Ovis aries: one gene and its partner. The protein of the gene in region 2 binds, or shares a complex with, the protein of the main gene of each other region. Links are inferred from orthologs where the notes say so. Each region holds a gene or a part of one and is shown on either strand. Other genes may lie near its edges.

Region 1 (4,829 bases), on a different chromosome or scaffold from region 2:
GGCCCCTCTCCCCAGTATCGCCCAAACACATCCAGCAAGGGGAAAAGAAGCAACATTTTATTCATCAAAATTTCCAGAACCAGAGTCTCTCCTGGGCAAATAGAAAAATAGAGAATTTTACTACTTCAAAAAGGCAACTGTGACAAACAAGTGTATGCCCAGACAGGGGCCCCTCAGACTTGAGCGAGCCCAGGGTTCAGGCTTGGGGTGTCCCACCACCCCACTAGCAGGCCCAGTCCTGGAACCGGAAGCAGTCGCTGGCAATCTTCCACACTGTGTTGCTGGGTGAGGCCTGGGCCGTCAGGATGAAGTTCTGGTTGAAGTCTCGCTGTTTGTTGCCCTCAAACTTCACTGTCCCACAGATCACCACAAGGACCGTGGTCTGGCTCGGGGTGGCTTCGTCATGGACAGGCTGGCAGTCTACCACGTTGATCTGGAACTCACTGGAAGGCAGCATCTCAAAAAACTCACTCAGGGACTCTTGCCCGGAGACAGCGTTGCCGTTCCACACCAGGGTGGCTGTGCCCATGTACAGGCGGGACAGCAGCCGCCGCCGCTTGTCCATGGTGCTGTAGTACACGTTCACGAACTCCTCAGCTGCGCGGCACGCCTGGTCCACATAGGTCTTGAAGTCCACGGACGCCATCAGTGGCCTCGCCAAGGGAGGCCTTGGCCCAGGTGCCTCCTGTACCCGAGGGGGCGGAAGGTGGAAGAGACCTTGTGTGAATGCTGATGACCGTCACGCCCCACAAAGGACCAGTCCTCCGACTGAGGCGAAATTCTGGGCGCCCCCTGCTGCCGACGCCTGGTCCGGCTGGGCCCCAGTTTGCTCATTGGAGACAGGAACATCCCTACCTGTGCATGACTATGACTGCAGTGCAGGATGAAGGGAAGCAGGGGACACCGCACACTCAGTTAAAAAGCCTGAGACCCATACGGCCAGCAATGACAGCTTATTACTATGAATTTTAACAATGAATTTCTTAACAACTGACTGTGGGAGGCTGCTTTTTCCTGGAAGCATGGAACAGCTGTGACTGCCCTCGTGTGTCTGGTGCAGACACCACACTCTGGAGAAAGGAACAGTGGCCCAACGAAGGCTGATCCATCTATCATGAGCTCACCTACTGGGCCTGGGAAGGTGAAGAGAAGGCAGGTTCCGTAAGAGGGCAAGAGAACAAATGTCGTTGAGGACAGGACAGGACCAGTACTGGTGGCCACAGTTCTCACTATGGGCTCTATTTGAGGAGCAAGGCTGGAGCTGACTGGAATGAGTGACGACTCAAGAGCTCCAGGGAGCACAGGGGAGTCCTGTGAGCCAAGAAAGGACAGGCCAGACAGAAGAAATTCTGTGGGGTGAGGGGGTGGTGACAGCAAGGAAGAATTTTAGCTGTAGCCAAAATGAAACATTTCCTTAAAAAAAAAAAGAGTCCAAAAGCATAAGGAAAAATTATTTGCTTTTTTTCCCCAAGGTATACAATAACTATTGTAGTTGTATTCTTTTTTGCCTGATTAAAATATTTCACTACACAAAAATCCAACAGAAGACAACATTACTAAAATATTGGATGCATTTAGATTTACAAACTTAAGTATTTTTTTATTTCAACGTTGTGCATGCATGCTCCGTAGTGTTCCTTTGACTCTTTGCGACCGCATGGACTGTAGCCCGCCAGGCTCCTCTGTCCATGGGATTCTCCAGGCAAGAATACTGGAGTGGGTTGCCATTTCCTTCTCTAGGGGATCGTCCTGGCCCAGGGATGGAAGCCGCCTCTCTTATTTCCTGCACTGCAGGCGGATTCTTTATGGGGATGAGACATGGGGAGAGTTTAACTTAAAAAAAAAAAAAAATCAGCTTTTGAAAGAGAGAAAAGATCCCACGCAAGGTTAGGAGGGAGTCAGGGAGAGGAAGGTGGAGGAGGCCAGAGCCTCCAGGAGAGAACTGGCCAGGGGTAGGAGCGGGTAGGCGGGGAGAGCTCCAGCCTTGAAAAGAGCGCTGAGGGCCAGGCACCCACGCGGGTCCTGCCACCCCCTCGGGGCGGGGGTGGGGCCTCAAGTCCAGCCGCGCACACACTCACTCCAAACTATACTTCCCAGCGCTTCATATACACCCCGTCCTTCAATAGTCACCGCAAACTGATGAGGCGTTATGGTAACAACTTCGCAACGAGGAAAGAAAACCCAGGTGTGGACTAGGTCGAGGGTGGACACGGCCCTGATCTGTCCTCTACTAGAATACGCTGCCTGCCCGGACGGCGCGATTGTCTCACCGGCTCCTGCCTCTCTGGGTCCAGTCTGGGGGCGCAGGGTTCCAGGATGGCCAGTTTGTAACCTCCCCCTCCGGGCCCATCGCCCTCGCTGGACACCACCCCCTGCACCCAGCCGAGCCCCCATCTGCTGGCGTCCACGCCGATCACCGGCATCTCGGGCCGCCGCGGCTCAACCAGCTGCCAGCCTGGGGGTCCTTAGGGAGCGGTCGTTTCTGCGGGGCTGCAACCGCCCCAGACTCGCGGCGAGACCAAGTGGCATCCTCGCCACTCCGGGGCCACTGACGGGGGGGGGGGGGCACCTCCTACGTACGCGGGGGTCATCTACCAGACCCGGGAGCGCAGACCTGCGCAGGGGCACCTACCTGCACGGGAGTGACCGCCCTGCTCAGTGCGGGAGATGACCGCGTCAGCGAGGGGCTCAGTTGGGCGGGCAGGTGAGGGGAAAATCACCGCACGGGTCGGCGTGGGCGGCTCCGTTCACGCGGCTACGCGGAGCCCCCCGTGACCGTAGGCCAGGCCAGCCGAGGCTCCGCGGTCCTCTGCAGCCTGCCCAGGCGGGCCGGGGAAGAGCCGCCTCCGCCTCACCACTACCTCCCAGGACCTGCCGGGTCCAGCCAGCGCCTCTGCGGGTTCCCGCGCGCGCGGCCAGCCAGCAACGCGCAGACTCAAGCGCCCGGCCCCTTCCCGCCCCGTGACGGACAGCCGTTTCAGCCAGTGGGGCTGCCGACCGTAAGGCTAGCCCCGCCTAAGTGTGGCACGGGTAGGGCAGCTTCCGGGAAAGGCAAGTTCCCAGAAGACCGCTCGCTCGAGTCTTCATTGGTCTATAGACGTAGGCCCGAGGTTAGGTACGGCCTCTGATTGGACGAAGCCTCGCAGATCCCCTGCTCTGGGGCGGGGTTGGGCGGGGGCTCTGGGGCCGTCTCGCGGCTGCGCTGAAACCTCCTGGCACGGGTTAACTGACGCTGCCGCCTGTTCTGGGTGTGTTCCCCTTGGCAATGCCAGGGCGGTTCTTTGCCTGCTTTCCTAGGGGAACGCTTGCTCTCAGAGTTCAGGGCCAGTTTAGAAAGTGGATGGGCTCTTCAATATAGGCTACCACCCCCGCCATGAAAAATGTGGTTTATAAACAAATAAATTGCAGGTTGAGTAGAACGTTTGAATTGAACTAGCGTCTTTGGAACCTTATGCACAAGACAATGTCTTTACAAAGCCCAATCCAGTGAAATGGGAATTTAATCTACAAAACTCCGAATCCCAGCATCACTAGCATGAAAACGAGAGTTGACCTCCTGCATGCCCACTGGGTTGGATGTCGCTTTTAAGTTTCCGTATGTTTCCCATGTAAACCCGTTTCATTTCATTCTCATAACTTCAGGAAGGCATCATTATTCCTGATATAGACTAGGAGGTCGAGAGACAGAAATTAAGTGACAGTCTGGAGTCACAGAGCCTCTTCAGTCCTAGAAACACTGGTCGGGAGGATATTTAACCAGCCCTAGGTTCTGATGAAAACAAGAATTTAACCCTGAGAGGCAGCCCAGCCAGCAACAGGAAGATGGGAGGTCCGGAACTTTCAGATTAGTCTCTACCATCTAAACTGTGCCTGATCCACAGCAAGGGGTCGGTAAATACTGTTTGAATGAGCAGACAGGGTTCAAATCATTGCTCCACAACATTCTAGTAAGCTTCCAAGCAAGCCTGTTTTATACTTTCCGGTGCTGCTTGAGTTTAGAAAGTTAGACACACTGCTGGCTCTAAGGCAGCAATTCTAGGGTGGTGGGCTGCCTAATTAGGGCCGCTGAAGCTAGAGAAGGAGTTTGCCAGGGGATTTTGGAAAAGATGCTATTTCTCTTTTTCCTTCTGGACATGTGATGTGCGGTGGTGCTGCTCCAGCCATCTTGCTCTGCTGAGGTGGGCACCCTTGTACCATGAGGCAGACAAGAAAGAGGGGGAGAAAGCAGACTTTGATGACTGTTGGGAACCAAATCAACCCTGAAGTTTAGCCTTTCTAGTTTCAAGAGTCAGTATATTCCCTTTATTATCAGTACTGCTAAAAATTGGGCATAAACAAACACAGTGTTAGTTGTTCAGCCGTGTCTTACTCTTTGCAACCCCATGGACTGTAGCCCACCAGGTTCCTCTGTCCATGGAATTCTTCAGGCAAGAATACTGGAGTGGGTAGCCATTCCCTTCTCCAGGCGATTTTCCCAACCCAGGGATCGAATCTGGGTCTCCTGCATTGCAGGTGAATTCTTCAGCAACTAAGCTATCAGAGAAGCCTATAAAAAAACCTACTTGTAAGTTAATTAGTGTGGCTTCCTGCACTAGCAGAGTGATTCTGCAAGTAAGTTAACCTTCTTGAGGTTCAGTGCCTCATGTGTAGAAGAGGGACAGTAATGCCCTCATTTCCTTGGGTCACGAGTGACTGGAAGAGGGTGTCGTCAGTGCTTAGCCCAGGGCCAGGCACAAAGCAAGCATCCAGGAATCATCGGTGTGCTTTGACATTTTGCATTGACAACAGCTTCCTTATTTGCCAATGATCCTTCCAACAAAGAAGGCTTT
Region 2 (4,847 bases):
GAGCAGAGGCCAACTGAGGGGCTCGTCCGGGAGATTGTCTCCACCAGGAGATTTTTATAAACCCTCCCCAGCCTGTCGCAAAGGGAACTTTGGCAGCAAGGGGAGATGATGCCTTTCCCCACCTTCCTGAGAGCAAGGAGAGGAAGTGAAACTGCCCCAGGGACCAACTTTCCCATCTGGGTTAGAATTTGACTTCTTCCTCTCCACGACATGAGGCAGGGGGCCCTGAGCCCCTCGGCGGCCTGCACAACCCCAACTTTGGCTGCAGGTGACTCTCAATCTGCCAAACGTGCTGCAGCCCGTTTTCTCCCAATTACAGCAAGACTGTCAGCCTCACTAGCCATGTCGTCATTTCTGGGTGGGAGCGCCGAAGAAGGGCCTAGGCAGAAATGGAGGGAGCCTGCTGCCCAGTATTACAACTGAAAGGGCTGGACTGATGACCCTGAGGGGCCAGGCTTTGGGCTCTGTATACACAGCTGCTTCCAGCAGGCCTAACCCAGTGCAGCAGTACTTAATTATCATGGAAAATTCCCTTCAAAGCAGGGTATACGATCCCAGAGTGGGTCTCTGATTAGTGGTAACTTCTAGGACCATCTCCAGAAGTATTTGGACCTGTTTCATCTGCATCTTCCAGTCCTACCGTTTTCCTTGGGCTGGATGAAGCAGGAGTTCTGCCTGCTGCCAGGAGTGAAAGGTGAAGAATTTGTTCCCAGCTCCAGCTGAGGCTCTTGGTCCCCTCTTGAAGCCCCTCACCAAATCCAAACCAGTCACAGGAGAATGAAGTAGAGATCTGCCTGGAATACCTACCCTACCCTGGAAGGTCAATATGCTTGTCAGTCCTGACCAGGACCCACAACCACATCATTCTGAGATCACTGGAGTACCCCAATTTCACACACCCCAAAGGAAGCTCAAGCTATAGTGACAACAGTCACACACTGGGCTGGCTGTAGTACCTTGGGGTTGGGGGCGGTAGTTATCTAGGAGAGCCCTGGCCTTTCTTAGCCCTGGCCTTTTAGTATTTGCTCTCCGTTTGACCTGTGTCCAGGGGGTGCTCTTGCTTGCATCTTAACTTTAGTTGACACACGATGTGGGTTTAAGCACAGCACATTGATGGTGGGTGGGGTGATCTGTGAAGATGATCAAAGCCTGACAAATGCAGTTTTTCTCATTTGACTCCACAACTATTGGGGGGGGGGGTGTTGCATAGATTGGAAATTTATTTCATAATATTTGCTGAGTTCCTGGTACATGCCAGGTATGGTACTGAGCCAGGTGCTGGGGAGAAAAAAAAAAAAGCCATGAATTAGTCAACTCCTTGCTCTCTTGGAGCTTACCTTCTAGTTTTCTATTTCATTTTATAGGCAAGGAAAGCAAGGCATAGATCTGTAGAAGGCAAAGGGCTGAGCTGAGACTTAAGCCCAGGCTGGATCCTCCTAGGGGTCTTGAAGCGGTCACTCCAAGGCACTGGTCTCCCATTCCTCAGAAGCCCTTCTTGTGGCCCTCCTTCCCTTTTTCTTTTTGAACCCTGGGGTGCAGTGGCCATCTCTGCTTCAGTGCCAACCTTGGAGGTGCTGCTTACCGGCCGACGATGAAAGCAGAGGGCAGGTGCGAGTACTAATCAGGGGGATCAGTAAACTAATCACTACTGGGCGGAGCGTCGGCCTCAAGCTCCGCCCCGGTGTCTCTGCTGGTCGAATGCGCACGCGCATCTCCCAGCGGCTCCGCCTATGATCGTGGGACGTCGACAGCGCGCGACACGGTCTCCTTATAAACGCGGTGGTAGCCGGCGTAGGAGCACTTCGACCTAGAGCGCCTGGGCATTCGGACGTTTGGCTAAGTGGCGGCCCGCGACGCAGCCCGCCCCTGCTTCTAGCTGTGCCATGGCGGACGAGGGGAAGTCATACAACGGTCAGTGCTGGTCCTTGGGCCGGGGAGAGGGGCGATCTGGAGCCCCGCTGGGCAGCGCCGGCCTAGGCCGCAGCGCCGGGGCGGGAGGCCGCGAGGGGCCGGGTGTCCGCGGGGAACGGCAGTGAGTGGCGCGGGCCCGGGGCGAGGCAGCCCGGGCCCTGGCTGAACTCGAGGGTGAGTGCCCGGCTCGTTGACCCCAGAATCCTGGCGCTGTGAGCACCTGCGGCTCGGAGCGGGTGGCTCGGCGGTGAGGTGACTGGATTCCTTTGAACTTTGTGGGTGGTGGATGCCTGTCAGTTCAGTTTGGCGGCTATAGTAATGTGAGTCAGTACCCTGTTCTTGGGCTGCCGGTGCCCTATTTTCTACCGTGCGTCCAGTCGGTCTTGCCCCCTCCCCCGCCGTCCGCAGCTTTAGCTTTAATATTCTAGACCTACACTTTAACTCACTGTTTTAGCCAGAACACTACAATGGGTTTAGATCCAGAGTAGTGGTTGTTGGCCATGCCGATCATATGTGAGTTAAACACTCAGGCCTGATTTTCCATCCCCTGAAGGAGGATAGAAACAGTACCTGTCTCCTGAGTTTGTCTCCATGTGTGTGTGTTTGTATTAAAACGAGATCGTGTGCGTCGAGCGCCTGACATCGGATAAACTTATTGATAAATGTTAACTGCACCTTCTAGTCGTCTATTTTTTCCCTAGGGTCGTTTCATGAGATTCAATGTTTGCAGAGTACTGGGCTTCCCTGGTGGCTCAGAGGGTAAAGTGTCTGCCTGCAATGCAGGAAACCCGGGTTCGATTCCTGGGTCGGGAAGATCCCCTGGAGAAGGAAATAGCAACCCACTCCAGTATTCTTGCCTGGAAAATCCCATGGATGGAGAAGCCTGGTAGGCTATAGTCCATGGGGTCGCAAAGAGTCGGACATGACTGAGCGACTTCACTTCACTTCACTTCATAGGGCTCTTTTTCAGAAGCCATTTCTACACACCACAGTTGAGAGGAACTCCAGAGTTTGAGAATAAAATTTATAAAAGAAACCATTAGATTGATCATACTTGTAGTTGATGTTTGTACTCAGTAGGCAAAAGGAGTATTGATTAAGTTAATGTAATCATTATGATTGGTTTACCTGGATATGAAAGAGGTCACTTGGGGTTAAGTTGATGTGGGTGGGCAGACAGCAGATTTCAGGTGACTTTTCGGAGAATGAGTTGTGTCCAGTTACCCTTGGGTCACTTCAACATTCACTTCAGAGTGGCAGTTTTTTAATATGGTTGATTTACAACATAATATTAGTTTTCAGGTATGACATGAAAGGGAACATAGTGATTCAGTATTATGATAGATTATACCCCATTAAAAGTTATTACAAAATAATGGCTGTCACCCCCCGTGCAATAATATATTATTGTTGCCTATCCATTTTATACTTAGTAGTTGCTGCTGCTGCTGCTGCTGCTAAGTCGCTTCAGTCGTGTCCAACTCTGTGCGACCCCATAGACGGCAGCCCACCAGGCTCCCCCGTCCCTGGGATTCTCCAGGCAAGAACACTGGAGTGGGTTGCCATTTCCTTCTCCAATGCATGAAAGGGAAAGTGAAATCTCTCAGTCGTGTCCAACCTTCAGCGACCCCATGGACTGCAGCCTTCCAGGCTCCTCCGTCCATGGGATTTTCCAGGCAAGAGTACTGGAGTGGGGTGGCATTAGTAGTTGGTATCTCTTAATCCCATAACCTTATCTTGCCCCTCCTGCTTTCCCTCTCCCACTGATAACCAGGAGTTTGTTATCTATATCTGTGAGTCTGTTTCTGTTTTGCTAAATATATTCGTTTTAGTTTTTACATATGTGATATCAGACAGTATTTGTCTTTTTCCGACTTACTTTACTAAGTATAATAACCTCCATGTCCATTCATGTTGTTGTAGTGGCAAGATTTCATTCTTTTTTTATGGCTGAGTAGTATTCCGTTGTGTGTGTGTGTATACCACATCTTTATCCATTAGTCCCTTGATGTTCATTTGGATTGCTTCCATATCTTTCCCTCTGTAAACAGTGTTGCTGTGAACAATGAGATGCAGGTATCTTTTTTTTTTTAATTGACCTGAAAACAAGTGAAGCTCATATGTATTCTTCCCTTTTTCTTAGTTTTGATGCTTTAAAGAAAAATCTTTATATTGGAGTATAGTTGATTTACAGCAGAGTGATTCAGTTATACATGTATCTGTTGTTTTTCAGATTATTTTCTCAGGGAGGTTATTACAGTACTGGGTAGAGTTCCCTGTGCTATATACAGTGGGTCCTTGTTGATTATCTGTTTCAGATAATAGTAGTGTGCAGATGTTAATCCCCACTTCCTCATTTAGGCATGCATCTTTTTAAATTAGTACTTTTTTTCTTTTTTCTGGATATATAATTGGAGTGAATTTGCAGGATCATATGGTAGTTCGAATTTCAGTGTTTTGAGGTGAGAACAAGACTTAAAAGAAGCCTTTCAATTGGTCGTAGTTGTAACTGACATTTGTGCTTTATAGGCAAAAGAAGTATTGTTTACTGAAAGCTGATGTAATCATTGTGATTGACTTTTCAAGATGTGATCAAATTTTGAGTAGGGGTAGTCTTAGAGAGTGAACTTATGGTTACCAGGGAGAGGTGGGTAGGGAAGGGACAGATTGGGAGTTTGGGATGGACGAGTACACACTGCTATATTCACAATGAATAACCAACAAGGACCTACTGTATAGCACAAGGAGTGCTGCTCATATTCCATTAACAGTCTATTTGGGAAAAGAATTTTAAAAAGAATAGATACATGTATAGGTAAAACTGAATCACTTTCTTGTACACCTGAAACTAACACATTATTAATCAGCTATACTCCAGTGTAAAATAAAAAGTTAAGATTTTTTTGAGTGGGGTTAAGTAGATTTGGGAGGGTGAG

What was found.
Region 1: the proteins of NXF1 (region 2) and NXT1 are in contact, whole or in part, in a crystal structure (PDB 4WYK), measured with the Homo sapiens proteins. The link is inferred for Ovis aries from reciprocal best matches to the Homo sapiens genes NXF1 and NXT1. Residues at the interface, in NP_006353.2 of Homo sapiens: Ala366, Pro367, Thr368, Thr369, Leu370, Pro371, Pro372, Cys373, Lys374, Gly375, Tyr377, His411, Gly413, Cys415, Cys416, Ser417, Leu418, Ser419, Ile420, Pro421, Phe422, Arg440, Asn441, Val442, Lys443, Lys444, Lys446, Pro448, Thr449, Arg451; in NP_037380.1 of Homo sapiens: Phe6, Lys7, Val10, Asp11, Cys14, Glu18, Thr44, Val46, Trp47, Asn48, Gly49, Asn50, Ala51, Phe61, Met64, Leu65, Pro66, Ile72, Ser73, Val74, Val75, Asp76, Cys77, Gln78, Pro79, Val80, His81, Glu83, Ala84, Thr85.

The regions. Positions count from the first base shown.
Region 1 is NC_056066.1:41,578,583-41,583,411, reverse strand, and holds NXT1 (NTF2-related export protein 1), read right to left. Parts: upstream 2,938-4,829; 5' UTR 2,633-2,937; intron 686-2,632; 5' UTR 647-685; coding exon 224-646; 3' UTR 37-223; downstream 1-36.
Region 2 is NC_056074.1:37,645,235-37,650,081, reverse strand, and holds the start of NXF1 (nuclear RNA export factor 1), read left to right. Parts: upstream 1-1,770; 5' UTR 1,771-1,883; coding exon 1,884-1,911; intron 1,912-4,847.